Linked DNA regions of Neodiprion lecontei. The protein of the gene in region 1 interacts with the protein of each later gene in a pairwise test. Links are inferred from orthologs where the notes say so. Each region holds a gene or a part of one and is shown on either strand. Other genes may lie near its edges.

Evidence for each region.
Region 2: the proteins of follistatin-A (region 1) and thioredoxin-2 interact in binary tests that used the Homo sapiens proteins (3 or more experiments, as listed by UniProt). The link is inferred for Neodiprion lecontei from reciprocal best matches to the Homo sapiens genes FST and TXN.

What each region holds. Positions count from the first base shown.
Region 1 is NC_060260.1:38,652,747-38,656,503, forward strand, and holds the start of follistatin-A, read left to right. Parts: upstream 1-1,079; 5' UTR 1,080-3,757. UniProt on the Homo sapiens protein: Multifunctional regulatory protein whose primary function is to antagonize members of the transforming growth factor beta (TGF-beta) superfamily including activin, myostatin, GDF11 or bone morphogenetic proteins (BMPs).
Region 2 is NC_060262.1:7,925,158-7,928,914, forward strand, and holds the start of thioredoxin-2, read right to left. Parts: upstream 2,781-3,757; 5' UTR 2,613-2,780; coding exon 2,589-2,612; intron 1-2,588. UniProt on the Homo sapiens protein: Participates in various redox reactions through the reversible oxidation of its active center dithiol to a disulfide and catalyzes dithiol-disulfide exchange reactions.

The DNA.
Region 1 (3,757 bases):
ACTCGAGGCCAATCAACCAGAATCGAATGAAACTAATTTCTAAGGGTTTTAAAATTCAGGGATTTTAAATGCATACAACGACGCGTGTGCAATTGTCTTTTAATGAAACTGTACAAGAAAATATTCTCGAAAAGCGATCGTAAGAACATCGAATAATGACCGAATCGAATCTTTCCTGCTCTTCTCGTTTTCTTTCATTCTTTGCAATCCTCGGTATCTGTTCACAGTTCACAATTATCGTATCTCAAAATGCTCAGTAACCGAACGAAATCTAAAATTACATCAACTCGCAGGGTGAAAAACAAACGTCATCAGACCTCCGAAATCTCTATCTCGGTGACCATTCAACCTCTCGATTATATTCCGACCTTAAAACCCGAGTCAACGAACTCTGACGAATCTCACACGTTACAGAAACGAAAGGCAATCGTCGATAAAAGTAGAGGATAAAAAAAAAGAAGTAAAAGAAAAATAATAATCAATCGTCAACAAAGCGAAATCAGTCGCCAGACACGAAGGAAACATGCATACAATACGACTCGAAAAATTTCCAACGCTTTCCGAAATGGAACGATGACGTCATTTTTATCCAGTCAACACCCCCACCCCACCCCGCCCCGTTGCGCAGTGACGGTGTTAAAGTTGGTGAAATCAAAGGTGAACTTGTTCTTCGGCCAATCGTCAACGAACAATTGCTTGAGGGGTATTCGAGACTGGAGGATTTATATCGCAGCTTACGACGCACGAATGAAAGACTCGCCAGAGGATTGAACGGATCAAGAGGGGGCTTCGGAAGTGTGATAAGAGGATCCGTTTTCGTCCGCGTTTCCCGAGGGTGATTTTCAATTTTCGATTGCGGCGGGGGTCGGGGGTGGGGGGGGGGCGAAAAGGGACGGCGGGGAACCGGGAACGTGGAACCGGGAACCCGGGAGGGAACCGGCGCGCCGCTTTGCTCGAAGCAAGTGTTGTGCCCACCGCGGCTCCGCCTGCCGCCTGCCTGCCTTCCTTCCTCTACTACAATTCTGCCTCTGGCTCTCGGCTCTCCGGCTTGGCCAGTGAGCCAGACGGCCTGTTCGCCAGCTCAGTCTATCGGGCGGCCTCGCGCGCGCTGGCATACTAATAAATTGCTTATACACAAAAGCCGATTTTCACGCCTCTAATCGGGAGAGCTCGATCCGCGGCCTGCGCCTCGCGATTTCCGCTCCCCCGAATCTCCACCCCTCGCCCTGCCCTACCGCCAACACCCCCAGGGAAGAAAGCGAAAAATCGTGTACTGGGAGAGAGAATGAGAGAGAGAGAGAGAGAGAGACTGAAAAATTGTAGAAAAAGAAAGAAGAACGTTTAATCGTCGATCCGCGGTTTAATCGAGAAAAAAAATAATAAATAAATAAATATTGTACCAATTTTTTTTTTTTTTTTTTGCACCGCATTTCGCACGAAAATTCAGTTACCTCGAATATTTAATTATCGTTTTTTACCTTCTGTTTCGAGTCACTGTTTATCGGAACAGACGAAAAATATCCACTAACAAGGATCGTTCGACGTTCCCGCCCTCACTGAGCTAACTCTCTTTGCACCCGTAGGGATTTGGATTAAACGGTGACTGGGAGAGAGAAGAGAGGGAGAGAGAGAGAGAGAGAGAGAGAGAGAGAGAGAGAGAGAGAGAGAGAGAAAAAGAGAGAGAGGCGCGGACACCCCCCACCACGAATATCATCTTCCCTCTCCGTGCCCCCTTCCAAACTGAAGGCGGGGGTTCACTCCCGCGCATCGAAACGACACGCGGGGTTCGCCTAAGACTCGGAGAACACGGTGGACTCCGACGTATCACGGTGCAGACTGAAAAGAGCGGCTCTACTTGCGGACTTCTGACTGCGGATATCGTAATCGACGCTCGTACCTGCAGCGAGATAACGCCGAGATATCAAAGAGGGAAGAGGAGGAGGAGGAGGAGGAGGACAGGAAAGGAAGGACAAGCGATTCGAATTTGTTTGAAACTTTTTTTTCATCTCTGACGCTGTTTTTTTTTTTTTTTTTTTTGGTTTCTTTCTCTCTCGTTCGTTCATCTGTTTTTCAATCGCAAAAGAGAGAGAAGAAAAAAAAAAAACAAACAAACAAAAACAAGCCCGAGACGAAACGAGACGAAGAATAATTATTGTAAAGTACGAGTCTGCGGAGCGGAAGGAAGGGATAACGGAAGAAGGAAGAGGATGTAAAATCGTTTGTCAATTTGTTCGAACGTCTTGCGCAGTTTTGTTCTTGTTCGTTTATTTATTTAATTTTCAACCGAACTACGATACTGTATTGTCCGTATGAGAATGATGCCGAAAGGCAACGTCGCATGCGGCGAGATTTGCGGAGAGGGGGGAAGGGGGGTGTTTGTTTTTCTCTCGGATTTCTTCAATCTACTTTACGTATAACTGGTCCCGTGCGTGCGATTGCCAAAAATTTCACACGAGAGTATAACTGTGTGTTTCGAGAACGCCGAGGAAAAAATACATTCGCAATTTAAAAAAAGAATAAAACATAATAAATAATTAAAGAGGAGAAGAAAAAAAAAAAAAAAATACGTGAAACGAACGAAAAGAAAAGGTGCTGGAACGAGAAATCTTAATCATGGTATTAGTGCGACTATTTTATACACGTACGTTACATACATACCGCAGTGACATTAACTCTCATTAACGCCCGTAAATATATTGCGTATACGCTCATAAAAGGTTATCTTCGTTCGTTCGCGGTAAAAGGAAAAGAGAAAAAAAAAAAACAAACAAAAACAAAACAAAAAAAAAAACGGCAAGATAAATAAAATAAAAGAAATAAGAAAACGACTCGCAAAGATTAAAGTTTTATCATTACCAACGGCAACTGATGCAGCGAAACGAATCTCGCAACGAGGATCGTTATACTCTGTGAGATTAATCGACTTTCATGCACCGTGCAAAGTGAATTGAAAAACGTGGTGCGTAAAAATCTTTGACACTGAGAGAAAATGAGTTAAACTGGTTCGAGTAAAAATTTGACGTACCGATCGTGAGTCGAGTTTGAACATTAAACAGCGCGCCATCGGGATTCTAGATTTGGCGGGAAAATTTAAACCACGTAAAATAATTGGTACATCGATACGTCACGCTGCTCGTGAGATTACGCTGGGTTCGATAGAATTTCGACGGGGAGAATAAACCGCTTGATCGGTATGACGGGAATGCAGAATGCGCGTTTTGTTGATAAGTTTGTACGTCGCGACGGGATTGTAATAAACCGGAGAGTGTGAATTATCGCGAGTGTGTAACATCCGCGGAGATTCCGTTCGGTGTCTAAAAATACCCGTTATATACAGTATAACGCACATGCATACATGTATGCGTATGTGTGCGTAAATAAGAGTATGCGCGTTTCATGAGAGAGGAGAGAAACGAGTGGCGTAAGAAAAGGAAAAGGTGAAAGAGAAAGAAGGAGAATATAAGAAATAAAAAAAAAAAAAAAAAAAACGGAGGTACAGTGGAAATAAGGCGTATAAAAATACGTGAATCGTAAAAGAAGCAAGAAACCGGGTATACGTGGTGGAGATAAAAATAACAGAAGAGAAAATAACGTAAAGAAGAACGCGAGGAGGCATCAGAGAAAGGTGGAGGAGGAGAGGGAAAAAGAGGAAGAGGCATTGAAGGAAAAGGAAAGGAAAAACCGCCTCAAGAAATGTTCGGCGTGCCGCGAATACCGCCTTATTACATACCGCACCGATGGTTAACCGAGTATTTGT
Region 2 (3,757 bases), on another chromosome or scaffold:
CCGCGGAATGTATTACTCTTAATTGAGATGTATATAACATTGTACACGCATGCTCTATATATAGCTCAAACAGATGACAACAAACTATCTCGTTGACCTGTACTTTGATTAACGCTATTCCAACAAGTCATTCTTGCGGTGTCGAAAACATTTAGTTCCCCGCAGTACATTCTCCTTACCTGACGTAATATGAATAGTATTGAATTGTATTCCATGAGATACAGATTATATTACCACGTAGTCAAGAAAATGCAATTTTTCGTGAACAAAGTATTTATACATTTCAACTTTCCTTGCCCAACATAACCGATTGACATGATCCGTAAGACAGGCGGAGAATATCAAGTAATTATTACGTTTCCATTGTATACTACACGGAGAAAGGATTTGTTGCCGTAAATTCAATAGGTCTTTTTATTTTTGAGTACATTTTTAAACCATGATTTAAAACACGAATTAAACAGTGAAACTTCCTGATAGCGGAAACCTATTTGGGGATGAAAGTATTGTCCGCTGATGACAACATCTGCTATTCGGAAGAATTTCCGTTCTATTACTATTACATTTTGCTGGAAATTTTTTTAAGAACATCCGTTATAAAGATGTGCCCGCTATTAATTAAGAGATGTTCGATACTTACTGTATGTAGAATATGGATACAAAATCGGTGTAACAGAATACGGTGACGCTGTAATCGCTTCAATCGTTGTTTCTTAACTCCTACATCTCCTTAATTAAGGAAGTTCCCTAGTCTATTTCGACATTATCGTATACATCTCAAATTATCCAAGTCCACGTATCTCAAACGTGAAAAAGGGCATAACAGCCCCATTCTACATACAGTTCTGAATAAAACCATTCTAAAATATTTTCATTTAACATAAAAATAAAGGAATGGTATGATTTCTACGATTTCTTCGATTTTGTAAAACCCGTGCCATTTGTATTGTGAAATGTATTCGAGTGTTTTTGTTCAGAATGGTGTATAGAATTGGGCTGTTAAGCTCTTTTTCGCGTTTGAAACACGTGGACTTCGATATTTGGAGATATATACGACAACGTCGAAATCGACTAAAGGGCACGTCCTTAAAAGGTGCATCAAATCACCGGGTCACGAGAAAAGTAAAGAACCAAACAAATCCGTGAGCCAATTCATGTTACAATTAGGGGTGCGCGGTATTTCGGTATACCGAATTTTTTTTGGCATCTCCTTGCTCGAAATGTATCGGTATGGGAACCTTCTGTCAATACCGATACCGAAATATCGAAAATTCGGTAAATAGCAAATAGTTACAATATATCTGGGCGAAAATTAGCTAACGCACACAATCGTCTTTCCGCTTTTTTGCAATCCGTCTGCACATATATCTAACATAGATTTCGTCATTGCGGTGATAAAGAAAGTATTTGAATTTATTTTCATCGTCATTTGTTACGTAAGTGAATATGACTCCTAATCTACCTACATTCCAAGTTATATCATCGAAGAGCTAGATTATGTTCATTAAAAATCAAGATTATCACAAGGTTGAAGTTCCTAAGGAAACAATAGGGAAAAAATCACTATTTTCTTATTTTTACAATGTCATGAAGTATGATTATGTTTTGTTTTATGACGGTTTTTCCTTCGCATGAATCGCATAAATCGTTACGATAACGTTACCAACTTCAACATGATAAATCAGCGACGCATCCAGTTCAGTTAATTAGAGAATCACGCCTGTTTTCATTCGTAATCGCAGCGACGGTTGTTTGCCGGTTATCAATAAAGTATTTCCGGCACATTGCATCGAGCATTGCGAACTACATAGTCGATAAACCTACATGTACTTAAGCCGACGAATTGCAGATTGCGTAGAGTGTACTGCATAAACTACGTACTCTAAGGACAAAAACGAATGTCCGAGCATAGTGTTGCATAATGAGAATCACATTTCTCGAATTCGTAATTATTTGGCTCGCGATTTCTGGTGTGATCAATATTGCAAAAGCAAGTGTGATACGGGCGGTCGAGGAGCGAAAGTCGAAGAGAAGGATAAAAGAGGCCGAAAAGAGGCGGCAAAAATGCCGAAGTTGTATGTGAGCCTGATGAGGCAATAGTGCGAAGAGGAGTGCCGACATTTTATCAAATGATATCGCTCAGATAGTTGGTCAATTATCAACAGATAAACAATTCGGATGCGTAAACGTGCTGTACTAATGCGTACTTAGGCTTTAAAGTTTCTACCTGTGTGCACTGAGAGCACACTCTACGAACGCGTTCAACCGAGTGTGATATTCTTTACAAATCGGCACAGTCTTAAAGATATAACGGTTATAACGCTGGACTTGGTTAACTTCGGGAATAAGACATACGTCCATCGGTCACTCTGCCAGCTACAACTAACACGCCACGCAGCAATTATTTCCTTCTCTATTTCTTATCAAGGTTATCCGCCCGCCTATTTCTTCACCAGCGTAATAATCTTTAGGTTAAACTTGTTCATCTGGTTAGTGTTCTCGTTCAACATGTCACTTGTATTCATTTTGTTTCTCACTCTCTCGCGTTCTTCCGATTTTTGACTTATTGTTAAAGGGAGTGGACTTACCGAGCTAGTAATTTGGAGAACCATTTTTAACGATGAACGAGTTGCTTTCCTGCGGCGTACTTCGCGATGCGGTCACTCGATTTGGTAACTTCGTACTAACTCGCGATATACAAGCACTGGAAGGCTGTACCTGAACTGCCCAGTTAAAAAGTGAACGCAAAACTTGGGGAGTGGAGACCAATGATCAAACGACGAATACCGCCACAGTATCGGTGACGCCACTGTCGCGGATACGACGTGGTAGTGGAAGGTGGCTCCGAAAATTCCCGAAGAAACCCGAACCGATAAATGGATTGTTATCAGTACAAAATCGATGTACAATACATTCGTGAAACATTCAGCGATTCCTGATCACTATTTCATACGGTGTCACTTCCGGCTTCATTATTTGGGATTGAACCTGCAGTGCCTTTCCTTCACACTCTCAATACACTTTCGTTTGATTATTATTTTTCATATGTGGAAGCGGGAACGTCATTGTGAATCATATAATGACCGAGGGACCGAATTGTTGCAATATCTTCCGGAAAAAATTTCCCTTCAAGTTAACCGATTATTCGAAACTTAGAATTCCGAATAATGCAGACTGTATATCTACAGGAAAGATGGAACAATCAAACTGAAAAGAATAAAAGAATTTCCGAATAATAATGCAATATTTTCATTTCTTAGGATTTGTATAATTCTTTGCCATAGAATCTGGAATGGATCGATCTTTCCGGATTATTGTGAACTTGGAACAGAGCATTTTGTGTGATTGCTCTGCGATATTGTTCAGAAATTTTGAATTTCACATTGTTGAATTTTTGTCGCGCGACGAAAGTATTGTCGAATTTTTCTATTCCTTCAAACATTCTTCGAATTCAGCTAAGACTGCTAGTTATTTTTTGTATCATGCAGGAATTGTTAATAATTGTTCCTCACGTACACAGCATGTATGATCTTGAAAATACCGTTACTTTATATCATTAAAATTTTTTACAAGTATCATTCAAAAGAAATATTTCTCATTTACATAAATTTATATAAACTTTTGGACTTTGATATCTTACGCATCACAAAATCTCCACAGTTATACCCCCTTAATTGATCAAGAATTTGAATATGTCGTTGTTTCTGATAAACGAATTAGCAATAGAACATATTTATTAGTTTCTCTAATTGCATTG